Linked DNA regions of Oryzias latipes. The protein of the gene in region 3 interacts with the protein of the main gene of each other region in a biochemical or structural test. Links are inferred from orthologs where the notes say so. Each region holds a gene or a part of one and is shown on either strand. Other genes may lie near its edges. The genes, in order: nuclear receptor coactivator 7, ncoa6, esr1, flii, mta1, CCAAT/enhancer-binding protein beta and phb2.

Region 1 (3,500 bases), about 8.0 Mb from region 3:
TTTCCATCTAACCTCTACACAGCTTATTAGGTGGAAAGTAATTTTGTATATTTCTGACCTTTTCATTTTAAATAAATACTTTGTCATTATGCTTTATACTTATATTATTATTTCAGTTATTATACTTGTTAAAGAAATAGAACTTGTCCCTTTATCACTTCACCTACAACCAACCTTTTCATGTAAACTGTGGCTTGATTTACTATAAACACGCTGCAACACTGACGCTTGTAGAGGAAACTCCAGGGTCAGCATTTTCTGAGGACATTAGTGCAGCTCGGACTGCCTCGTCATGCCGCCATGACGAGGCGTAGAACCTGTTTACTGCAGGTGCGTCTGCTCCGAGCATGCTCAGTTCATCCTCTGCACTTTGCCCACAACCTTAGACTCCATTAGTGACAGCAGCGTTTCATAAATACAGGCTGCAGCTCTTCCATTTACACTGCTGGCTGAAGGAGGTCTATCATCAGTTTGGTGAGCATGCATGCTAGCAGCAGAGAGTCAGCTGCAAATTTAAAGGTTTATGCAAACGGTGCGTCAAAGAAAAGAAGTTCTGCATCAACCTGAATATTTACAGCTGACTTCAGGTCTTATTTTATTATCTAGATCATTTTTGTAGCTGAAAACCTTCAAAAGTGAGCAATAAATTCAAATAATTTGTTGTGGCTTTTAGTCCTTAAGAGTGTTTATTTCAATCTGCACTCTAATTTAATTTCATGCACAAGTCACACATCCGAAATATTAAAGACCCACTCCGAAGAAAATTGTGTTTTTAAAATGTTGTTGTGGCATCTTTCAGGTGGAGGTCAAATAAAAAGAGGATTAAGATTTTTATTTCATTTCTAAAAAAAAAATGCCGTCTGGGGAAAGAAAAGAATGAAAGAACAAATGGGGGGGGGGGGGGGGGGGCAAGGTTGCTTCTTGCCACAGTCCCACCCACAACTCAGGTGCAACTTTCTAATGAACTCCTGCTGCTCTGCAGAAAATATGTCCTAGAAAACCACACAGTTTTTTTTGTTTTGGGCTAAAGACCCCATAGTAATAATAATGATAATAATAGTAATACTAATGATAAAACACTGGGAACACTTTTAAAACAGATTAAAGTTGATCAGACTGAGACTTCAAATTGTGAACAGTTAGTTGATGGCAGGATAAAGATGTTCATAATATGCTGAAATGCACGTTTTTACTGTCATCAACAGACAGACTTATTTCGTTCAGGGACAGGTTGTGTAACTTCCTGCTTGAAACTGCTGATGTTGCTTCATTACAAATGATTCCTGGATCATGTCAATAGTGTCTCTCAACCGCAAAATAATAATTGCCACTGACCACAAATCATGAATTTTGTAAACCTGCAGCAAAAACACAACACGGAACATCATAACGGCGCTTATATCAAAGCTTCTTTGACTTAATTAAATGTTTAATTCAACAAATTAACACCATTTTCACAGAATTAAGTCAAGTTCTAGTGTTTGCAGTGTTTGCATCAGTTTTAATTCATTAGACTATCTAATCAAAGTGGCCTTTTAATAATGCATACCCCCATACATTAATCTAAAAGCACTTGCAGAAGTCTGTTAAACAAAGAAGTCTGTGCAGACTTTGCTGCAGTCTTCTGTGCATCCAATTATTAGGAGTTTCATAACTGCGAACAGCTAAAGCCAACATTTATATGATTTTTTTCATGCAGAATTAAGCCAAACCTGCTGGCAGCTTTGCTGTTACTGTCTGTGGGTCCTTCTTCTTGTTGGGATCACTGAAGAGTGCTGGGGTTCGCTCATTTGGACTCTTCTCCAATTGGCTCTGCCGTTTCCGCCTGACGAACACCAGAAAAATGGTTAATTCTGACTCATTAAAGGAGAAAAGGGAAAATTTTGTTACCAGTTACTTGGATACTCAGTACATCTTGGTGCTTACTTTTGTTTATCTGTGTACTTAAAACTGACTTGATTTTGTATCTTATACATCTTCAATAAAGTTTTGAAGAAAAAAAAACATATTAGTGTTAAAGAATCTCCATGTCATCACAAAATGTTTCAACTTGAAGATGTTCCATTTAATTCCACCCTATTTTTTGTGTTTCTATAAATGTACATCAAACCATTGTGCAGTAAATAACACATCTCATACTTTACAGTTATGCATGAAACTTTGAAGGACTAATCAAAGTTGTCGTCTCCCTCATTATTATCATTAAAGTTCAGTATTGACGGGTTTGTTGAAAAAATTAGAAGATGCTGCATTTTGATGCAATGGAGCTGAAAGGCCCATATGATTAATGCAACCAACTTTTAGAAAAAGTGGAGAATGCTGCTCTGCAAAGCTCTGAAATGAGCAGAAGCAGCTTCACGACTGTTGATGTGCTTTAATGGAAAGTAGAGACTGGATCGATAATCCTGCAGACAGGATTCCCCTCCCACACATCTCATTTAAACTGAAGCAGCTTGTATCCCAGCAAACACTCACATATTTGTCAGTAGATTCTCAAAATTCCTCCTTTATTGAGCTTCTTTAATTGTGGAACCATTTCTATCGGGTTCACGTCCACCCAGAGCAAATGTTTGGAAAAACTAAAACAGGTTTTGTCAATTCAGAGCTGAATACAGGCAGAGAAGCAACATGATTTGACTTTTTAAAGATCACAAAGGCAATATAAAACAAAATAACTTTAAGACAGCTGCTCAAAGTATGGGTACTAATAAAATAAAAATTTGTTTTGTTTTTCATTTTCATTTTAAACTAGAACAAAACGAAAAACTTTTTTCCCCCCTTCATTTAATAAAATATTGCTTTTAAAAATCCAAAATGTTTATAGTTTCTGCGTTTCATTGTGCCTGAGTAGTTGTACAAGTTTTCGTTTTTTTATTAAACTACAATCTCAACACTGCAAAAACAATAACGCCTTATTAAAGTTTTACGGTGACCGAAGGCCTGCGCTTCATTGTGACCTTTGCTCTGTTTGTCAGGAAGTGAAGCAGAAGGAGGAGGAGACAGCAGCAGCTGCATCGACTGATAAGACTTCTCCTCCACTCACACAAGTTCATTCTGAGGCCAAAAAATAAGCAAAAGCAGCCAAACTTCACAGCTGTTTGTCAGAGATGCAAAAGGAATAAAAGTTTTTCTTTTTAATAAAACACTTAACCTAAAGGAAAAAAAATAGGGCAAACAACTGTATAACATGATAGACAGATAACATGGGTATTAAAAACAAGAATATTTTATGGCTGACTGAACACCAAAAAGGCAAGTTAAAAATTAAAGTTAATTTAGATTTCATTGCAGAATTAATAGTCAGCTGCAATCCTATACTTAGTAGATTTGAGTTTTATTTCTGAAAACAATCTGAATATACAGAATTCCCTATTTGATTTGATTAAATGTTACTTTCCTCCAATCTCTCACAAAGAACAATTCCTTTTGTATAATTTGTGATTTATGCTAAACACAGATAAAACAGTAAAATACTAATTTAAAAAATACCCTTAAAAAGA
Region 2 (3,500 bases), on a different chromosome or scaffold from region 3:
TCCCTAGCTACTGTACAGACCCCCAGTCATCCTCCACCCCCTTATCCGTTTGGCAGCCAGCAGGCTGGGCAGGTGTTCAATGCCATGGGACAGGGACAGTTACAGCAACAACATCAACCGGGAATGGGCCAGTTTGCTGCCCCTCAGCCTAAAGGCCAACAGGCTGGACCTGGTGGTGTCACAGGACTAACTCGCCCCCCTCCACCCCTTCCACAAACTTCTGGACCACAGGGCAACCTCGCAGCTAAGTCGCCTGGATCGTCTTCATCTCCTTTTCAGCAGGGCTCTCCAGGTACTCCTCCTATGATGGCTCAGAGACCCACAACTCCACAGGGTTTTCCTCAGGGTGTTGGTTCACCAGGAAGAGCAGCCCTCAGCCAACAGGGCAACATGCAGCAAGGATTCATTGGAATGCCCCAGCATGGACAACCGGGGGGCCAAATTCACCCAGGTTAGTAACTCTGGTTAGTATTTTGTTGTTCCAATGGAAAAAAAAACAACCTGTCAAAGAAGTTCACTTTTTCTTGATCATCTTTATCCAAAATGACCATTGTAATCATCAATTCTAGGCATGGCAAAGCGTCCCATGGGTTTTCCAACATCTAACTTTGTTCAAGGTCAGGTGAGTGTTAGCACTCCAGGAGCTCCTGGTGGAGGAGCAACTCAGCAACTGCAGACCAACCAAGCAATGTCTCAAGCAGGTAAAACTTCTACAGATCTCTAAACAAAAAGAAAAATGCTTGTTTTATGATGTAGAAAGTATCTGACTTTACTTGCTGCAGGTAGTGGCTTAAATGCTGTCTGCTCAGAAACTGAGGGTGGAATTCTCATAGGGAAGTTTCGATCAACCCAGAATGGGAATTACTATCAGAATAGCTCAGACTGGTTAGAGAATTTGACATGGCATCACATTTGTATCACATTTTCACTTACTTCACTTCGTTTTCTGTGCTGTAGCACATCAAATGGTACAACACACTTCATGCAACAATTCCCATTTTGCAACATCATGTTGCACAATTGAGCATGTTGTCTACCATGTTTGATGCCTTAAATAATTACCTAGTTTGAAGCGATGCGGCAGTTGCAGCTCATTCCAATTCATTCTTAATTATGCTTTGTCAACACTTAATTTGCTATTAATAGCTTTAGCCTTCACACTGAAAGGCTCGTTCTTGTTTTTTCTTTAACTTCACTCATTTTAAAATGTTTATCTGGTATGTCAGTGTCACATTAAGTTTATTTAAGATTACAGGTTTTCTATTTAACAAAAGACACGTTAATGTTAAGCTAAACACTTGGTTCATCTAATGAGTTGGAGCAAAGTAAGAGTTCTCAACAGAAAATAGAAGAAAAAGGGGAAAACAAGGATTTTAAATCAATCGAAGAAGTCTACATTCAAAAGCTGGAATCCTAAAGCCCCACTCATATTTAGAGCCATTGTAAAAGTGTTCCCAGTGATATTTTAATTACGATTTTCAAAAAACCTGTGTTGTTTTCTTGAACATAGTGTCTGCAGAGCAGCACTAGTTAATTAGAAGTTTGCCTCAGAGTTGTGGGTGGGACTGTTGGTGCAGAGCAAACGCCCTCCCACTTCCCGTCACCCATCTGTTTACCACGCTCTCCCACTACCTTACAGCCCCTTACATCCCTAACCTGACAGTACTTGTGCAACAAAAATGACGAGCAATATTGGAGCCATCCAGCCGTACAGTTTAGAGCCAGATGCCAGTTCAGACAAGGAAAATGAAGACGTACATGGATCTGTGGTTTATAAGTAGATGCATCAGAATGGAGAGGAGCAGGGAACTTGTGACCTGCCAATAGGAGCTTCTATGTCACAATAAGCTCGTAATCAAACAGCAGTTTTTTGGTCTGCTCCTCATTTACAACAGTTTGAAAAAAGATACCCAGAAATGCATTTTTGAGATTAATTTTCTTTTTTATATATGGCCTCCATCATGAGAAAAAGGTCAAAAGCAAATGCATTAAACACCAAAAACACAATATTTTATTTGAGTAAGTCTTTAACAAATGAATTGAAGCTTGTCTCTGTGTGTCACTTGGGATCCATTTTTCTTAAATACACCAGTCTTCAATAATTATAGTAGTCTATTTTTTTCTTTTATTAGCAAACCCCTTTTTATTAGCTTTATATGTTTTTGTTGAGAACTATTTATAATTTCAGAATTAACACCATGATATATGCAACCATTTATGCTATCCTTTGTATTTTACATCAGGGCCTCAACCATCACCTTCCACTCCCAGCTCAATGCAGGGACCACCTCATGTTCAACCCAATGCCATGGGTGTGCAAAGCAGCATGGCAGGTCCAACCCCATGCACAACTGCTGGACCTAGTATGGGTCAGCAGCAACCTGGCCTCCAGACCCAGATGATGGGCCTCCAGCATCAGGCCCAGCCTGTGTCCTCCTCCCCCAGCCAGATGGTACAAGGTCAAGGTGGAGGTCAGACTGTCCTTTCAAGGCCTATCAATCAAGGCCCGAGAGGTGGAATGACCCCACCTAAGCAAATGATGCCACAGCAAGGCCAGGGGGTGATGCATGGGCAGGGTCAGATGGTTGGAGGCCAGGGGCACCAGGCCATGCTCCTGCAACAGCAGCAGCAAAACTTGATGATGGAACAAATGGTTGCCAACCAGATGCAAGGAAACAAGCAGGCATTCGGAGGCAAGATTCCAGCTGGGGTTATGCCGGGCCAGATGATGCGAGGCCCATCCGCAAATATTCCTGGTAACATGGGGCAGTTCCAGGGACAGGTGCCCCCACAGCAGATGACTCCACAGCAACAACAACAGATGGCTCAACTACAACAGCAACAGTTACAGCAACAACAGCACCAGTTGCAACAACATCAGCTACAACAACAGCAACACCATCAGCAGATCAGTCAACAACAACAGCCACAGCAGGCTCCCATCCCTAATAATCCTAATCAAACTATGGGTCTGCATGGGCAGCAGATGAGACTACCTGCTGGCCATCATCTCATCCAACAGCAGCTACAACAGCAGCAGCAGCTGCAGCAGCAACAACAGCAGAAACAGCAACAGGCAATGTTGCAACAACAGCAACAAGCAGCTCAGCAACACCAACATACCATTGGGGACCCAAATAGTGGCACAGGTGACTTGGGAGTCCAGCAAATGGTCCCAGACATGCAGGCGCAGCAGCAGCAAGGCATGATGGGTGGCCCTCAGCATATGCAGATGGGAAATGGCCACTTTGCTGGTCATGGCATGAATTTCAACTCTCAGTTCTCAGGTCAGATGCCAATTGGAGGGGCATGTGGACAGCAAGGTAGTTTTCCCGTCAATAAAGATGTTACACTGACTAGCCCACTGCTGGTCAACCTGCTGCAAAGTGACATATCTGCCAGCCAGTTTGGACCAGGAGGAAAGCAAGGTGCTGGTGGAGGAAATCCAGCTAAACCTAAAAAGAAGAAACCACCACGCAAGAAAAAACCCAAAGAGGGGG
Region 3 (2,966 bases):
CAAATTTGACATTCTATTAAAAAAAGCGGGTTTATGATGAATCAGTCCATGCAACAGTCACAGGATGCCAATTACTTAAGTGATTACTGTCCCTTCTTTGCATATATTTTTCACACTTTGTGTCTTTTAGCCCTGGGCTAACAAAACTTACAAGATACAGCAACGAGCTGATAAAGTTGAAATCTAACATTCATGATTGCACAGCAAAAATGTCCTAAATAGCTCAAAACTAAAATGAGTTTTAGCCTCACTCCTCTTAGAGGGCATAAAATGAGTCATTCTGATAAAACGGAGCATTCCAAGTAATAAATGAAAGTGTGACTTCATTTGTTTGAGACTTTCCAATTAAATGTAGCCAGAAAACCCTGATTTTTCCAATTATTTTTTGCTAAATCTGTAGAAACGAGTTACAAGTAGCAGATTTTCACTCATGCCTTTGATTTAGAGCTGAAACAGTTGAAGTACAAGTTGATTCTTGAAGACGTTCATTATCACTCATGTGAAATAGAAACAGGAATTGCCTTTTTAATTTTCACAGAATTCAACATTTAAATGAACTTTTAGACAATTTAATCAAGGTGCAGTCAGTCAACTTGTGGACGAAAAGTACGTTTGTGGCTGAGATGTACAATACAAGGCAAATCTGTGCATCAAAGCATTAGATTCTTTCTCAGCGTTCATAAGCTACAGTGCTAGAAAAACACGGACAAGTGCACAAATGTTCAACAAGTAGCAAGTTCAGAGTAAATGAGCTGCAGGCACAGAGAACAAAGTCCTTTCCAGAGATAGACGTGGATAACAAATTTACCCAGCTTTCTACAGCGTGTCTTCAGTGCTCTCAGGTTTGATCTTGCCTCTTTTGTTTTTAAATCTTATTTTAAAATTGCATTTGTGGGTAAGTTCTACACAAAATCTGACAATTACTCTCATTATTCTTAGCCATCCCATATGTACAAGAGACAAAATAATGCCCATTAGCCCCTTTAATCCAAGAGGAAGTGCACTTGGGTCAAGACGGTTACAGAAAACATTAGCTGCTCATTTTCTTGAAATCACCAGAACTCATGGGACGCAACCTTACAATCTACCACATGCTGTTTGGAGAGCAAAAAAAAGCTGCTAAAGAGACGCTCAGGTTTACAAAGGAGATGAATATAAGCAGATTAAAGTGACTGCACAAAAGCTGGACCAAGCAGAGGCAGTTCATTGTGGGAGCTTCTCCTCTCAGCGCCACTCTTATTTATAAATAATTCTTAAAATTAAATCAAGCATCACCTTGTCCCAACCTGAACCCTTGAGCCACAAAAAAAGGGCCTTGGACTGTGTGCTCAGTCTTGAAGGGCCGGGGTGCAGTCAGGACGCGACCCTCCATACTGAAGGACACTGGGAGCAAAGGGGCCTCTGCTCGGACTCTCGATTCTGCCTCGAGATGCTGATATAGAACCGGGAGCGATTCCACCCCCGCCGCTGCTGGTGGAGGGAGGGTCTCTGTCGACTTGGGACAAGGACTGGGGTGCTCTGACGGGGTGGTGCAGGCGGTGGGCATCGAGCATCTCCAGTAGGAGGTCATAAAGAGGGACTTTGTTCTTGCACTTCATGCTGTAGAGGTGCTCCATGCCTTTGTTGCTACAAACAGGAAGAGGTAAAGATGCAATTAAAGTTTATTGAAACTTTAAAAACTTTTCCTTTCATATTTTTTTTCTTTTTAGCTCATCACCACTTTGGAGTTGAAATTTGATTGAAACTACAAGAGTCTCATATGGGTTGGTCTGGTAACTGGTGGTTTGGTTTTACCTCATGTGCCTGATGTGGGAGAGCAGCAGGAGCAGCTGGGCCTGCCGTCTCGCCTGCTCCTGGGCCAAGTAACCCGACTGACTGATGTAATGAATGAGTGCGTCTGTGATGGTGTCCAGCATGCTCTGAACCGCCGCGCTGTTGTGAAGTGGCTCCATGGTGCCGGTGCAGAAAGAAAAAGCACCTAACAAATACATGAGCTCATCAGTACACTGCAAAAAATAAAATAAAAAAAAAAGCAGCATCCTCATCTCGATTAATTAGCCTCAGCGATGAGCCTGAAATCTAAAATATTTTTTTTTTCAGATGCACAATGAAAGTTCGTCCTGCTCCAGCAGCTGATGCTCGTGTGTCATCTCGATGATATTTGCCCCCCCCCCCCCCCCCCCCCCCCCCGTTTCCCATATAAAATATCTCAATCACCGGGATAAACACGGCCCCCTATGCTGTCTCATGTTGTCATGACGACGGGTATCAAGCGTATTGACGGTGCAGCCCTCCTCCAGAACACTCTGTTCACCTAATGTGTCTGAGCAGCACTCAGAGGTGCCCGCCTGTGGGTGTATGATGACACTGTTCAATATTTACTCTTGCGAGCAAAGAAGAAGACATGTGACGATGTGCCCACACAAACACAACTGTCAAACTTTGGAGCTGAAATGGAGGCAGACATTCTGCTGTTTGCCCACAGTTTCTGTGAAGTCGTTTCACAAGAAGCTTGCGTCAAAAGAGAATAACAAAAAAAAGTAAAAAAAGTAAACATCATTCCCGTCACAATACAATGGCCTACCGGAGTTGAGTAAAATAATAGCTTTGAGGCAGACGAATTCCTCAGGTTTGAGTTTGAGCACACGGAAGCGGGAAGCAGTGGCCAGCAGCATGTCGAAGATCTCCGTCATGCCTTCCACGCAGTCTCCCTCATTCCTAAAAGCCAAAAACAAAAAAAGTCAAGGCTGAAAGTTGAGAAACAGTCTCTAGAGGCAGAAAGATGAGCTGTGGTCTGCAGAGCATCCTTGCAGAGAATCCTCTCAGAACGAAGAATCTGACCTCATCTGCAGCTGTGAAAGTGTCTAAACCCCGGCCAGATACACAAGTAATGGACGAAATCACTGTCACTCTCCATTTGTCAGCTCAGCGGAAAAGTGAGGGTAAGATGGATAATATCTAGCGAA
Region 4 (4,015 bases), on a different chromosome or scaffold from region 3:
AATTCAAATATCTTTACTGAAAAATACAAATTAAAACAACAACAAAACGTAATCACTAAGAGTAAAATCACAAATTACAATTTAAAACCACTTTGAGACAAATATATAATGTGCCGGTTATACAGCTGTCATACACTAAACTACAATGATTTTAGAAAGAAGTTGTTATCAGTAGCAATTCTAATGGGAACTTCTAATATGGGTTGACATTAAGTACCTGTTGGGGCAGCTAGAAGGGCTTCTTTGTCATGTTTATGTATTTTAAAGCCTTGAAGCCCTTCAACACAACAGTTGCTTATTTATTACAACAGAGATCGTCTGTGTCTGTGGGCTTTGACGCTCTGCTAGGGAGCTAGTTGCGGGCCATTTCTTAATAATTACGGCATTTAGTTGCAGTCAGTTGCCTCAAGTCCCACTCCAATCTTCTTGTGATCTATTTTTCCCAGTCGTCTTACAATTATGATAATCACGGACAAGGAAAAGATGGATCTCTTTGTCTACAAGTGGATACAACAGAATGGAGCAGAGCAGGGAGCTTGTGGCCCACCCTGCATATTTTTTGTACGTCACAAATACAATCTTCAAATGCCATTTTTTCGTCTGCTCCTAATTCATGACGATGTGAATAAAGAAATACTCAGAAATGCAGTTTTGATACTAATTTTCTTAATATGTCCTCATCCTTTATGAAAAATGGCCACAGGAACATGTTAAAAACACAATTTTCATTGGAGTCAGTCTTTAAGTCTTTAAGATTGTACGCTGGGGTGTTGTTGGGGTGTGACAACTGTCCCACCGTGTCCAGACTCACTGCTATGTGGATGAAGCATCCAGTGAATTTACATCAACAACATATAGTTCTAAACATTCTCAATAAAAGCACTTTATCGAAATGTGAATCCCTCAGAAGTAAATTAATAAATATATGGTGTAAATTTACTCTTAAAATGCAGATTAGAGTCATTAGATGACAAATTAAAGCTCAGATTTCACACAATGTAAATTTCATTTCTATGATCATCAGCTATATGCAGCGAACCGTGTAAAGAAAACACTTTTTTTATATTGACAGAAAGTCCACTGCCAGCTGCACACATGTGAGAGGCTTGAACAGGTCAGAAAAAAAACTTCAGAGGAGCATCAAAAGCCTTTTGAATCTTCTTACCAACTTTTGGAGAGAAGCCAGCTCCTCTGGAAGATAACAAAGTCCTGTCCGGTTCAGTTTCAGCCATCGTAAGCTGCTCATACACTTTACATGCTCAGGAAAATAACCCCCCTGTGGAGATAGGCAAAGAAACTTGTTTGCCAACACAACAAAATCATTCCAGATTTACACACATCTGATAACTCCATTGAGACGGACGGACGGACAGATGGATAGATAAAAATTGGCAGTGTTTTCACAGAAGCTGCATGACACATGCTGACATCTGGATTTCCTAACATTACAGACAGACAAATGCCTTGAATTTAACAAATTAACACAATAAAAAGTTAGCGGTTGGATGGTTCGGTTGGCTGCGCGTAGGACTGGCGCATGGGAAACCAGGGATCGCGATGAGTTTCATCCAGTGTGGGTCCTTGGACAAGACCCTTAACGCGGCTCCTTAACTATGCAGCCACAAAGGGGCCCAAGTCTGGGTCTCCCTGTGCCAGTCCATAGCCCGGTTAAAATAGAGGGTTCTGTCAGGAAGGGAATAAATGAAAGCGGAATTTCTTTGGCGAGTCCTGCAGGGATATGCCGAAAGGTAAATAAAAACAACACATCAAAAAGATTATTCGCCAGCAAATTCGGACGTGTTCCAATACTCCTTTAGAATCTGGTGAGTCAGGCTCAAAAAAAAGTTAGCATGATGTCAAACTTTTATTATTATCCAACTGAGTTAAATAAAAATGGAAATATTAAGTCTTCCTTGTGACAACAGTAAACGCCTGCCATTTCAGTATTTCTTTTTAAGTCCAGGATCACTGATTGACAGCAACAACTTGAGTTTACACTGTTGACAACAGTGTTGCAATCCCATAATAATCAACCTAAACGGGGCTTGGATACAAACTTAACCTGCTGTGAGTGTGACGGGTCTAAAGTTCGGTGAGGTGATCAATTCCCCTGTGTTTAAATTAACTTAAACTAACTCGATGAAAACCAGAACTTACTAACTAAAGCCATGTCAACACCGGGTTAACAAAACAACCCAACAAGCGCCAACATTCACCTTTAACAAAAGATTCTAAATTAATCCCAAACATTTGAACAATTTAGATCAAAAGTGAATGTCTTAAGCAATAATACACTTAGCCAAAAGTACGCTAACTAAACAAGCAGAGTAGTAGTGATATGTATGATGATGAGTGGCAAGTGCTGTAGCCCTACCCTAGCAACTCAAAACTGTTTTCCTGTAGAGTTACGGCTCTTATTTTATTGTTTAAACAAACATACCTGCCTTAAATACAATTCCGCATACTGCTCAAAGGGTGGTGTCTGACACACACGGGAGTGTTTTTTCTAACAAGAGGCTAACGCCCAACCAATGTTCGCAATCATGTTAAGCTATGCTAGTGTCTTAGCTACTTTCCCTGCTATAGTATAGGTGAACAATTCTCATACAGGAACTAGCTTAGCCTAGGATTCATTTAATATGACTAAAATTAGAGTTATAAATAATGCGAGTGTAGTTTTAAAGAATCTTACTTTGAAGTCATTTCCACTGAGGTCTACTCCCCTTATGAAGGGAAGAACTCCGGTGGCAGCCATTTCTGACTCGCTGATGTCAACTGCTCAAACCTCTACTATTTTGGGTCGGGAGGGAGAGACTGTAGATTTGTTACCGCCCCCTTCTGGCTCGAGAGGAAATGCATTTTGTTTATTTGGAGAGCTCCCCTTTCCCCGTTGTCGTTATAAGGTCACACTTGATTGCAGCCACAAAGTTGTACGCAGAAAGATCACAGCCATAGAAAATAAGTCATAAATAAATAATAATTACTGCTGCCGCGGGTCATAATAATAATAATAAAATAAAGGGCCAAGGAGCATAAATCTGACTTAAATCTTTTAGAATTCTGACTTTTTTCTCAGAATTCCTAGATCAAAGTCAGAATTCTGACCACCAGACCATCAGAATTCTGTGATTAAATTCAAAATTCTAAGATTAAAGTCCGATTTGTTTCGGCCCTTTATTCCTGATTCTCCAAATCATCTTCCTTAAACATGACAATAATAGCTTAACATATGGTAAAACAAACAAACAAATAAATAAAGTGAATGCAGCTAGAAAGAACAAATGCAACAAATAGTGGTAACACAAAGTAAACCCAAATTTAGTACTGCAGAGCTTTTTTAAGGTTACATCTTGTAAAATTTAATCTTTAATAACATTTTAAAAACTGTTCCAATTTAAAAGGAAAATAAAATTAAATCAAGCAAATAGTCGAGAAAAGCTAAAGAACATATTGTTATGGTAATCATTAGTGTCATACTAACAAGAAAATATCACTACACGTATACATTCCCCACATATCTAAATTCACAGAATTTGGAAATTCTGTTGACATTTCCCATACGTTTTCACACATTTGTATTTTGATATATTTTAATGATTTTATACACATTTCCAGTTTAACAAAAAAAACATTTGAAAATGAAGTTTCTTTTCAGCACTCTTCTTTTCCATAGTAAAAAATTGTTAAGCAGAGGACTAAATCACAACAGAGATCTTATGTATTTGGCAGAAGGATTCCAAATGTCACATAATCTCTGGAAATAGAATCCAGGAACAGAATTTTTGGTTTTATCCAGTGTTGCAGGTAGCCACCAAAGTCATAAATGGCTACATATATATACTGAAGCTACTAAACTAGCAAAGTAAAGCAGATAAATGAAAAATAAGTACATGATTATTCCCACAGTAAAACTAAGTATGAGTTAAATATTGTAATATTATAAAATTCTCGTTTTTTAGTCTGAGAAATATTAATACAGTGCCATGTTTTGTCCTCTGTGGTTACCTTTGTTCTC
Region 5 (4,039 bases), on a different chromosome or scaffold from region 3:
CGGAGACTGCACACATAAGTAGGAGTGCATGAGGCACGCACAGCTGATTGGCCTGATCCACTCATGTGATCACAAGCAGAGTCCCCCGTGTTAGGCCATGGTAATTGAAGCTTCCATATGGTATAGATCAGATGTTGCCTTCACCACAGCATTCCTGCAGCACAGTGACTTCCTTTTTGCATCCACACTGAAAACTGGGCTAATTTGGACAACTGTTTGGCATAACACCCACTCATGTAACGTCAAATAAATGAAATTCAATTTGCTAAATGACAAAACAAATTACATGTTTATGGTTTATACATTGGAGGATTTATTGATGATCTATTGTCTAATTTTTTCTTGCGTGGCAGGTGTGACGCTCTTTGCCAAAGTATACAAGAAAACGAACTTTAGCAGGAAACAGAAAAATTATGAAAAGCGTTCACTATTTTCTTACAGTTCTTTATATTACAAAGATATGAGCCATTATATAATGAATATATTACTATATTAAATTAGGGTGAAATATTTCATATTTTAAAGTAAAAATTGGATTAAAATTAAACATTTTAGCATAATATTAATCATGTTTATCCAATCACCAATTGGCTACTATTTAAATCTAAAGTCTGTAAAGTTATGCCATATTTAAACAACAATTTCTCCAATTTATCATTTTCTGTTGCTTCTGAAAATGTTACTTCTATGGAACTTATTTTTGTTTATAAAAATAATCCCTGAGTTAATTTTAAAAAGTGTGAAAAATTACTAGTTTTACTCTATTTTGGTTGCACGTGCAGTTAGTTAAACACTACGGCAACTCTTTAGGGATACTTTTAAAACAAATAAAAAAGATGATTGAGAAGGAGATTCTTAATTTGACAATTATTTCAGAGTTATTATTTATAATCAAAACTCCTATAACTACATAATATATAGGGAAACAGCAAATAAGTACATTTATTTACATAAGCACAGGTGATGTTCGCATTTCTATATCCAAGAACTTTTGTTTTTTATTTTAAAGTATCGCGATAGTTTAAGTTCTATGCCGCAAATAACTGAGGCAATGTTGGGATTTTCAAATAATAGTCGAATTATCTTTCTTGACAAGCAAAATTGTGATTTTAAACAAAAGTGTACATTCAATTGTCAAATTTGAAGTTGACATTTTCATAAAAACGACTTACATAGACGCGTTTAAGGAAGATTACGTCACTTTCTCGTTGTATAAATTACACGTTTTGGGAAATATGTCATGTGTCGCTACTTAAAGGTAATATTTGTTGAAATTGTGAGTTCACTTATCCACGTCCGGGTGCCCAAATTTTGAGGTTTCGAAAAAGAGGTGTACTGTCTCTTTAAGACGTCTCTGGCAGTCTGTTTCGTATTGATCAATCCACCATTTTCCAACACACAGCAGCTCCGGCAGCGCCACAGAGAAGAGAGCCACCCCTCTACCTGGAGAGGAAGCCAGGGACCGGGGCGCAGTCATGGCAGCGAACATGTACCGGGTTGGAGGTAAGCGCACACGGGTTCGGCTCTTTGGAACACCCCCGTCTTCGTTATTTTATGGCGGGCTCGCCATTATTCACAGAGCGAGATCTTTTATTTCCCAAAAAGCTAAAGAGCTTTGTGCCTCCACAGATGAGGATGGTGTGAAGAGGAGGATGGTGATGAAGAGTAGTAGATCTTTTTTTTTTTCTAATCACGAAATGTTGGTAGCTTCTTTTGTGCCTGTGTTTTGTTGCTCAGCGTGGAGCCAAACAACTCCTTCAGTGTGGGGATGCGCACTTTAGTGAAATGCTTTAGGTTCTCTCCTGTTTGAAGGTATCATGGCGAACATTTTCCCCAAAGTTTTGCGTGCGTTTAAACTGCTTTCTGCTCGGAGTAGCAGCCAGGAGGACTTCACTGACTGACCAACGGAGACAGGTAAAGCATCCATGAGCTGAAGGAGAAGGAGGCTGCTGGGACAAAAAGTTCAATTCTACCAAAAACATTTGGGGAACACCAAACTGGCAACTTTAGTGATGGTTTTCATGCCCATCCATCGCTAAGCTATTTTATTTCCATAATAATTTAAAAATATTTTTAAACAGGCAATTGATTAAAGTACCTAATTAAGATTCCCCACCCACTCGTTCTCTGCCTGTGTTCAGATTCAAATCCTACAGGGGAAAAAAACACGTGAAAGTTCACATAACAAAGTCTAATAATGTCATTATAAATTATTGTAAATATATTAGCCCTCTTGTTGTGGTTTAAATGTTTAAAAATACCCTTTAAAATGTTACAAATGTCTTGTTTTGTGTGTTAAAGGTTTAAACAAGCAAAAAACAACAACAGGTTTTTGGTTTAATTTTAGAAATTAGGAAGTGTTTTTTGGGATTTAAATAAATTTTTTTTTCTATTATTGTAACATAAGCTATCTTGACAACAGTGGTCATTATAGAATAATCCACACAAAGATGCTTTTCTAGTTATTAATTTAATAATGTGTGTTTATGTTTTTAAAATGTATCAAAAACTTGTAGACTGGTGTAAAAATGATATGTGAACTAACTGAAAAAACCATTAATTTGAAACATTTTGATACCATAATATTTATCTCGATGGTACACATTTCTCTGTGTTAGGACTTCATAAAAAAGTTTTGTAAAGATACATATAATGATGCTCAAAATTAATTTAAATCTTATTTTTAATGTTTTTCTTTCACCCCTAAATCCAGTTTGAATTAGATCTTCTTCTTTAAATGTATTGGCATTGAAATAACACCTGAATTTGTCGGATTTTTGCATTACTTACCCTCCTAAACGTTCATCAAAACAAACACTGACTGAATTAGTTCACAACTAGAACGTAAATATAGTGTTGAGTGGGCGATTTTTCTGCGAGTAATTTAGATGGGGTGCTGTGTGGGTTTTTGAACAATTGACGTTCTTTGGCTTGGATGAAGTTGTCATTTGTCTCGAGATGTGTCATCGTATCCCCGAAGAGCTGGCAGCAGGTGCAGCAATTTACAGCTGAGTTTATTTATCTAATCTATGTATTGATATTCTTTGGTCATAACCGCTTGTACAGGCTGAGTAACCACATTTTGTAGTACATCTAACCAGTGTGTGCACGTCTGGGAAAGAGGAACGATGATGAAGAAGAATTACCTTCACTTTATGGATCTATTTGCTTGTTCTGACCAAAAAATCGTCCCATCAAATGTAGGAGTTAGATGGACTTCTATGGATCAGCTATAGTCAAATTAAACCAGATCTACCTGACTGGCAACAGGATTATGCCCAGATCAGGGTAGAAGGTTAACCCTCCCTCTGCCAAAGTGTTGCCTAATTTGGTCCAAACCTTCATCGTCATTCTCTAGAGGAGAATCCATCAGCAGGGCTTAAATTCCTCATCTGAGCAAATTGTAATTAACTGTGCAGATGTATTATTTATTTATTGCCTTAATGCACTGAGCTTGTATTGGGTTGCCTCTGTTTTGTTGCACCGCAGCTCAGGAAATGTAATTAAATTTATCAATCAGGGTCTAAGCTGTTTACACAAACTCCCTAATTTGTCATTTTGGAAAAAGAAAAATCCATTTAGCTTCTTATAAAATACTTGAAAACATCTTAGGATTATGAAACTTACCCAATTTAATCAAAAATCATTAAACATAAGTCATAAAAATAGGACGTCTTAATTAATAACTGATAGGAGTAATCTAGACTTAGCCAATAATAAACCCTGCCTCTCCTGAAACCGGTTCCAGGTCATCATCAGAAGAAAGCAGAGCCTTAAAGAGTTGCCTTCAACTTTGCAAGACAATGCTGCTGAACCATCTTAGGAAGGACTTCCTTTGAAAAAGACTTGGACAAAAGCAGGCTCCTCTGGCCTTCATGTCTTTGTTTTGCACAGCGCAGGCCACAAGCCACTCATCCGGTGCACACAGCGGTTTTTCCTCAATGCTTCGCACCAGAGAAAGTGTTAATTACCAAAGATGGGCTGTGTGTAAAGCATAGAAGCAAACACAGCTTCTGCTTATTGAACTAGAGTTCAGGAG
Region 6 (3,370 bases), on a different chromosome or scaffold from region 3:
TCAAATCGCCGTTAAAATGCATCATTGCACCCCTACTCAGAAATGTGCAGCATCAAAGTCACGTGTTTTTGTGTAACATGTCACAGGAAAAATTTGAATGCTGATCCAGAATGACATCTCAGATGAAAACGTTGTCTGTATGTGACGCTATAGGAAGAGAAGGGAGCACTCCCATGGAGGCACTACAGATGTCATCTGTCATTCTGTTTGATGGAGCTGCCTGACAGGGAGCTGAAAGTAAAATGCAAACATCGAAGAAAAGTTGGAAGCAAAGGGAAAACTTCAAACTGTTTCAAAGCAGTTTTAATGGAGCAAGAATTAAACTTAAGCCAAAAAAAAAGGTTTTTCACTCAAACAACAAAAAAATGTATACATTATCAATTTAATCCCTTTGATTTATGTGCGATTATATTCAAACATCAGCCAGGCCTGATGTTAAAAGCCTTTAGATACCATTTGGAGTTTTTTTTTCTCTCCAGTACAGTCTTGTCATGATATTCTGCACCGACCGCTTCCTAACATGCAAGTCATGGTGACTTCAAATGGAAAGTGACTACCTCTGTTTTCTTCAGCAAATCACACAAGAAATGTCACACACGTGTCTTAAAATATGCAAAAGATGCTCGAAGCACCAAATTGACAAGTGCTTGACAAGTAATTTTCTAAATACTCTTAGCCACACGGTGGCAGTAAATCCCAATTTGCAAACCAGTTTCTCACCAATAAATAAATTGTAGGTATTTCTTCTCAATCTACGTGCACGTTTAAAGCAAACGTGTAATTCTTATCTGATCTTATTCAGAGTCAGTTTATTTTTGGGGCCTCATGATTGTCCAGGAGAGGCTTCTATTTTGTTCTTGCTGTGAGTCATTGGGTCATGCTTGAAGTCATGTTGTGGGATAACACTGATCCCACGAGACAGTCACATCTGTCTTTGACGACAGTGAAATGTTTCTGACACAAACCAGCACAGTGATGGATGGGGATGTGTGCATCACTTCCACAACTGTTCATTTTTGTTTTGGAAATAATGTGTTCAGAGATGTTTTGATTACAACTGAATGTGATTTTCTGCTGCAGGAGTTAAGGAAATGTGTCCAGAAAGGAGCAAAGTAATTATTTATAATAACTTGTATTGATGCTTACTGACAAACAATGAAAGACTTCACTTTAAATAGACAACAAGTCAAGTTCAGGTTTTCGTTTGTCCCGACATAAACAGATGAATGCGGGAAACGTTCTCCAAAGTGGAACAGGTTGTTCGCTGACAGGCTCCGCTCGTCACACCTGCCCTGTTAGGCCCCGCCCCCCGCGCTGTGGAATAAAACCCTCTCGAGACAGGAAGGTCTGTCAATTCCTCCCAATCCGCCACAGAAAAAAAAAGTTGCTTCTTGTTGTTGCCACATGAAGTGACGCGGGTGCTTTCAGCTCGCTGCATTCCGACACGTTTTCTCCAGTTACTCAGCTGAACTTGAAGAACTCGGGGCGCCTCACCTCAGCCCTGCCCGCTCCTGCAGTCCGGCGGGAGTGCAGATCCATGGAAGTGGCCGGCTTGTACGAGGAGGGAAGCTTTGCTATCCACGGCAGAGACGGTATCATCAGTCCCATCGTCGGCGGCTCGTACTGGCGGCTCGGTGACTCGATGACGGAGCTGGGCATTGAGGAGCGGGAGAGAGCGATAGACCTGAGCGTTTACCTGGACCCAGCCTTCCACTGCGCGCAGCTGGCGGCGCAGACGCAGCCGCAGGGGGACGCGTACTCTGACTTTCTGGCGGAGAGCAAGATCAAGAGAGTCTCAGCTCTCCAGAGCTACAGGAACTACTCTTTGCTGGGCGAGCTGGAGTCGAGCCAGTGCGACCCCCGGCAGCCCTACTCGCTGGGCTACTCGGAGCTGCAGGAGACGCGCGCGGACAGCGTCCTGAGCCCCGAACTGAGCCGCTACAGAACCGCCGCCGCAGCCGCCGACAGAGACGACAACCTGGAAGACGCCAAGATGGAGAACGGCTCGTCCGGGTTCGACATGAGGTCCTATCTTCATTACCAGTCCACCAGCAGCAGTCTGGGGAACATCTCCACTGCGTCCTCCACCTGCTCCAGCCCGCCCGGCACACCTGCGCCCTCAGGTAAAGGCAGGTCACCGTCTCACGGCGGCAAGGGGAGCAGCGGGAAGTCTAAAAAACGATTGGACAAGGACAGTGAAGAGTACAAGCTGAGGAGGGAGAGGAACAACCTCGCCGTGAGGAAGAGCAGGGACAAAGCCAAAATGCGCAACTTGGAGACTCAACACAAAGTGCTGGAACTGGCCGCGGAGAACGACCGTTTACAAAAGCGCGTGGAGCAGCTGTCTAGGGAGCTGGCCACGCTGCGCAACCTGCTCTCAGCAACTGGACAATGTTAGGTACCCCCCTCCCACGAGAGAACCCCCCTGTGCCGCTCCCTCAAGTGGACTGGAGAGTGCACGGTGATCCAAACGGTACACAGGTGAAGGCGGCCATCCCCAGTTTACAATGGACACTGAATAAGACTGAACAAGTGGGTGCATGGATTGCGCAACCGTTCACCACTCTTTACATGTCACTGTGGCTTTTTCCTCACATGTAATGTTTGTGTATGCAGTATTTCTGTGCAGGTTTTACATACATACATTCATACCCTTGAATTTCTAGATTTTTGTGTGTGTGTGTGTGTGTGTGTGTGTCTGCAGCAATGGCTGTCAACGGGGAGAGTTGTGCTGCAGTGAAATGATGCAACTCTTTGTAATAGTATTGGCAATGAATGAAATAAGTCTAATTATTTAAGATTTAAAAAGGTGAAATGCTTTAATTGTACTTGACATTGGATTAAATAGATTTATACTTTGTTTAAAGGAATTTGCACGCTCTTTTCTGTCCTTTCCTCCGCAGGTTTAGGGTGCAGACAGGCACACAGACATGGGCGTTCACACTCAGACTCACACTTAATCCGTTACAGCATATTGCGTTGAGGAAAACGGCTGTTTTTATAATCCAGGTTTGCGTAAAATAAACTACAAATCACGAAAAGAATCCTACAGGCCTTTAAATATTTGAACCTTTGTTGCACAAAACGTTATTAATTAATCATACGTATTTCATTATAAAGTAGAAAATATAGTTCTCTGTAGTTAAAAAGCTTTAAAAAATATAGTTTGGAATCTTTTTAGTCATTGGTTTTTGTCAAATTGCACTTAAAACAAACATCTCTTGCAGATAACCTTTTACACAAAACACAACCTAACTCCTCACACTCTTTTTTTTCCTCTTTTTAAACAGGTTCATTTTCGTTTCTGTTTATTTTAAATAATTGACGCATTCTCCCAAGGGTCCTAAAATAAATCAAACCCATTTATGCT
Region 7 (4,000 bases), on a different chromosome or scaffold from region 3:
CCCACAAACCTGTAGATCCCCAAAAAGTCGACCTCAACATGAGTCTGAGGATTATGGAGAGAAATTTTGAGGATTTAACTTTTGAGTTATTCGATCCAGGATGTTGGTTCTCCTCTCCATCATTGTTTTGGATTACATGTCTGAGTTCTATTACAGCAAAATGGTTAAGAACCTCACAGCTGGTGAGTGTGAGGATGTTTTTGCTGAAAGGATCTGAGCAATCCTAGACAAAGGTCTGCAGATATATGGAGGTTCCAACTACCAGATGATCTGCCTGAATGATCTTCTGAAGGTCAGAAATTAGATGAAACAATGATTCTCCTTTGTGGAATAATGGATTTGTTGTCTTCTATCGTTTTATACTCTTCTCAGACTCATGTTTCTTCTCTGATGTCAGTTTGTGTCTAACACCTGGACACTGCAGAACTGAAGGTCATCTCATCAGCTCTGGCTCAACCCCCCCTCCCCAGGTGATGCAAAAAGAAACCAGACCCTTTAACTCAGTTGGATTTAAGTTTATTTCATAAATTCACAAAAACAACAAATGTCACCGGGATCTTTTGCTCCAACTGGGACACGGCAACAACCAATCCTCAACAAAGGATGACGATCTTCTCATCCAGTCAGGTAGACGGGGGGTAAATGTGGTACTGGTATCTCTACTCCCTTTCTACCCCCCCACCAAAGCAGCTGTCTATCAGTCAGGGGGAGGTCCCAGCTGAGCCGCCATCCTCTTTCTCTCCATCACTTCTTCTGCATCAAGGACAGACTGAAAACACAAGAACCTGGTTCAGCAGCATGAAGGTCAGCCAACGTTAAGGTCGCTGTGTGGCTCCATCCAGATGGACAATCACCAAAACATTGTGGATTAAGATGAAGCTATTAGACTGTGCATGTGGACAAACGACAGTCCACACGCACAACAGCAGTTCATCATCTTGGCGATTAAGAGAAAAACATTCATTTATTGTTTAGGCTAAAGTTAGAGGTCACTTGACTCCATTTTTGCGATCTTATGTATCGAAGAGTTTCCCGCTTAGGGTTTTCAAGACCCTTTCTTGTAGGGGCGTAGCAATTAATCGATTAGTTGATAAATCAATTTCTATTCCTGGGATGAAACCAGATTGATTTGTCCTGTCGGAATGGAATTGACCAATAAAAGGGGAGGAAGGCGAGATGAAGGCCACTGACTTTGAAAATACAGGAGCTAAAACATTCAATCTGGTTTACCATTCCTTCACATCTGCTTTAGATGGTGGGTGGGACGGATTTGTTTTAAATGTGATTCTGATCCTTTTAAATTACCAATCAAATTTTTCTAAATACCACAAACAAGTCTTGGTCTATTGGAAATTACCGTATTTTCCGGACTGTAAGTCGCTCCGGACTATAAGTCGCATGCACCAGACCAAAAATGCATTATAAAGTAGAAAAAACACAGATAAGTCGCACTGGACTATAAGTCGCATTTTGACGGGAAATTTATTTGACAAAATCTGAGACCAAGAACTAATAATTTGCACAACCTTATATGACACAATCATATCAGACTGTTTATCTCATAATTTCACAGTAATTCTTTCTCAAACTTATTTATTTATTCCTTTCATGAAGCATAATTGGCCAACTAATAATCTGTTTTCAGCCTGTATTTGTAGAAACAGTTTTCATTTTTATTGCATTTCTGAATCTATGAAATCATTGGAAAATAGAATATTATGTTGTTAGCCTTCAAGATCTTACTGTAAAAAAAAGTTTGCTGATTCTCTGAGTCACTTAACATACTCTTAACACTTAACATCCCTCAAACATCAAATTGACCCAGGAACATCATCTCTGTTCCTCACAAATGAACATAACAGGAGGGTTAACAATGTATTTATTTGAATTTATTTCTAATATAAGTCGCTGCGGTGTATAAGTCGCACCCCTTGCCAAACTATGAAAAAAAGGGCGACTTATAGTCCGGAAAATACGGTAATCTACATCCACAACTTCGGTCCAAACACCAACTATTTGAGGGGTTTTAGACAAAATATTTGTGTAATGTCTTGTCTTTTGTTTTTAGGATTTAATTGTGTTTTTATGTAAAGCACTTTGAGTAGCACAAGTTGAAAAAGTGCTATACAAACACAGTTTGATTTGATTTGGAATAATCGATCTGTTCTATACAAACAAAAATTCATGTTTTACAAAAGTTAGATGGACATTGTCCACCTAATGGACAGTGATGGCACTTTTCTTAATTCTACAGATATTGAATTGTGGATGTAATATCATTAAAAATGTCTCAAAGTTGGTCTTTCAATCAAAATGAGAAGTATTAATTAAAGGATGAGTAATTACTGCTAAATAATCGTTTTCTTGTGAAACCCGGCGCTTTTTAGATGACTTTTGGGCTGGAAAACCATGACTATCTGGCAACACTGCTTGCTAGCATTACCATGTGAGTAGGTCAGAGCTAGCTTGTTAGCATTAACACATTGGTTGTGTCCAAATTCCCTCACTACTTAGTGCACTTCAGAGGATGATCGCCATTTTCAAGATGTCACTGCAAAAACAAGTATCCATCAGTGCTCACTAGATCGGCATAGACCACAATGGCTTTACAGGTCAGGGTTAGCATGTTGGAAGATCACTGTTAGCATTAGTACAAGCAGGTTTTAGGCTTGTTAAGCCTAAGATGTTGGGAGGTCAGTGCGACCTTTGTGTGTGAACCTACGTGTTGAAGAACGACTGATCCTGCAGGTTCAGGACCAAACCGTCCGCATTCAAGTAAATTCTGTTTTGGGACGCCGCCACCTGGAGGAAACAACATCTTCCGTCATCATCATCATCATCCTCACAGACAGAAACAACTCTTGTGCTGCAGAGGAAAAAACGTCTCTGACCGTCTTGGCAATGTTCTGCGCCGCTCTAATTCTCCTCAGCTTCAGGTAACCTGGGTTCTTTGTCACTGCTTGGCCAAGCTGAGATGCAGACAGATCGATCAGTGTGGCTGAAACCAACTCAACAACTTTTCTTTCAGTCAGAACCTGGTTTTGTCTGAGCCTGACTGGAAGAAACACGTAGACCTTGACGGGTCACCCTGTCGCTTACCATCTTGGCAGCTTCAGCTTCTCCTTCTGCCTGAATGATCTTCTGTCTTTGGTCCTGTTTGGCTTTCTCTACGTAGAACTGGGCTCTCTGGGCCTCTTGCTGAGCTATAGGCACGCACAAACACACACAGACACAAAGGTTGGCTCTTAATGAGGGCTTAAGTCCCATTCACTGTGTCTCAACGGCTTATTTTCTCACTCCGGCTTGTTATTTGCCATCACGTGACTGCAGGCTTGGTTCTACCTGGCGCAGGTGTGTGCCCACTTACCAACTTGCTTGGCCTCCACAGCAGCAGTATACTGGCTGCTGAAACTCAACTCGGTGATGGACACGTCATCCAGGATGATGTTAAAGTCTTTGGCCCTGTCATACAGCTCCCTGCGTACCAGCAAGGACACCTGCTCCAATCAGAGCACAGCGTTAGCAGAGCTCAAGACCTCACTATGGGATGTCGCCTGTTACAGAGGAGAGCTCCAACTCACCTGAGCTCTCTGTGTGATCAGCTGCGATGCGTTAAATTTGGCCACCACAGACTTCAGAACCTCGTTTACAATGGACGGCAGAACCCTCTCATCGTAGTCCTTACCCAGCTGCTGGTACATGATGGGCAGATTGGAGGCTAGAGGTCTGGACAGGACGCGTACGGCGATGTTCACCATCTGCAGGTCTACACACACAACACAAGAAGGTTCAATTTTATTTCACCCAAATGTAGAGGGACCACAATGACACAAGAACCTTACACAGGTGCCCCGAATAACAGGAAGTCCGGTATCACCAGTCATGGATTATACACACCTGGCCCAGGTAGTTAAAAGAAACCATGGCCAGCTCTACATCCAACCCCCAAGCAAAGACAGTGAGAGTTTTACCTTTGCTGCCTGTCAAAGAGGAGATCTTT

The links.
Region 1: the proteins of esr1 (region 3) and nuclear receptor coactivator 7 form a complex in vitro, tested with the Homo sapiens proteins (2 studies listed by BioGRID). The link is inferred for Oryzias latipes from reciprocal best matches to the Homo sapiens genes ESR1 and NCOA7.
Region 2: the proteins of esr1 (region 3) and ncoa6 form a complex in vitro, tested with the Homo sapiens proteins (4 studies listed by BioGRID). The link is inferred for Oryzias latipes from reciprocal best matches to the Homo sapiens genes ESR1 and NCOA6.
Region 4: the proteins of esr1 (region 3) and flii form a complex in vitro, tested with the Homo sapiens proteins (2 studies listed by BioGRID). The link is inferred for Oryzias latipes from reciprocal best matches to the Homo sapiens genes ESR1 and FLII.
Region 5: the proteins of esr1 (region 3) and mta1 form a complex in vitro, tested with the Homo sapiens proteins (4 studies listed by BioGRID). The link is inferred for Oryzias latipes from reciprocal best matches to the Homo sapiens genes ESR1 and MTA1.
Region 6: the proteins of esr1 (region 3) and CCAAT/enhancer-binding protein beta form a complex in vitro, tested with the Homo sapiens proteins (2 studies listed by BioGRID and IntAct). The link is inferred for Oryzias latipes from reciprocal best matches to the Homo sapiens genes ESR1 and CEBPB.
Region 7: the proteins of esr1 (region 3) and phb2 form a complex in vitro, tested with the Homo sapiens proteins (3 studies listed by BioGRID). The link is inferred for Oryzias latipes from reciprocal best matches to the Homo sapiens genes ESR1 and PHB2.

The regions. Positions count from the first base shown.
Region 1 is NC_019882.2:16,951,100-16,954,599, reverse strand, and holds part of nuclear receptor coactivator 7, read right to left. Parts: intron 1,826-3,500; coding exon 1,713-1,825; intron 1-1,712. UniProt on the Homo sapiens protein: Enhances the transcriptional activities of several nuclear receptors. Involved in the coactivation of different nuclear receptors, such as ESR1, THRB, PPARG and RARA.
Region 2 is NC_019865.2:14,778,078-14,781,577, forward strand, and holds part of ncoa6 (nuclear receptor coactivator 6), read left to right. Parts: coding exon 1-451; intron 452-569; coding exon 570-701; intron 702-2,243; coding exon 2,244-3,500. UniProt on the Homo sapiens protein: Nuclear receptor coactivator that directly binds nuclear receptors and stimulates the transcriptional activities in a hormone-dependent fashion. Coactivates expression in an agonist- and AF2-dependent manner.
Region 3 is NC_019882.2:8,948,422-8,951,387, reverse strand, and holds the end of esr1 (estrogen receptor), read right to left. Parts: intron 2,719-2,966; coding exon 2,585-2,718; intron 1,979-2,584; coding exon 1,795-1,978; intron 1,627-1,794; coding exon 1,329-1,626; 3' UTR 501-1,328; downstream 1-500.
Region 4 is NC_019866.2:18,081,530-18,085,544, forward strand, and holds the start of flii (protein flightless-1 homolog), read right to left. Parts: upstream 2,801-4,015; 5' UTR 2,756-2,800; coding exon 2,693-2,755; intron 1,277-2,692; coding exon 1,166-1,276; intron 1-1,165. UniProt on the Homo sapiens protein: Is a regulator of actin polymerization, required for proper myofibril organization and regulation of the length of sarcomeric thin filaments. It also plays a role in the assembly of cardiomyocyte cell adhesion complexes.
Region 5 is NC_019880.2:4,694,886-4,698,924, reverse strand, and holds the start of mta1 (metastasis-associated protein MTA1), read left to right. Parts: upstream 1-1,239; 5' UTR 1,240-1,258; intron 1,259-1,373; exon of another isoform or gene 1,374-1,402; 5' UTR 1,403-1,475; coding exon 1,476-1,503; intron 1,504-4,039. UniProt on the Homo sapiens protein: Transcriptional coregulator which can act as both a transcriptional corepressor and coactivator. Acts as a component of the histone deacetylase NuRD complex which participates in the remodeling of chromatin.
Region 6 is NC_019865.2:21,871,284-21,874,653, reverse strand, and holds CCAAT/enhancer-binding protein beta, read left to right. Parts: upstream 1-1,341; 5' UTR 1,342-1,537; coding exon 1,538-2,398; 3' UTR 2,399-2,870; downstream 2,871-3,370. UniProt on the Homo sapiens protein: Important transcription factor regulating the expression of genes involved in immune and inflammatory responses. Also plays a significant role in adipogenesis, as well as in the gluconeogenic pathway, liver regeneration, and hematopoiesis.
Region 7 is NC_019862.2:5,437,998-5,441,997, reverse strand, and holds the end of phb2 (prohibitin-2), read right to left. Parts: coding exon 3,972-4,000; intron 3,767-3,971; coding exon 3,582-3,766; intron 3,498-3,581; coding exon 3,368-3,497; intron 3,204-3,367; coding exon 3,100-3,203; intron 2,970-3,099; coding exon 2,892-2,969; intron 2,803-2,891; coding exon 2,723-2,802; intron 770-2,722; coding exon 745-769; 3' UTR 501-744; downstream 1-500.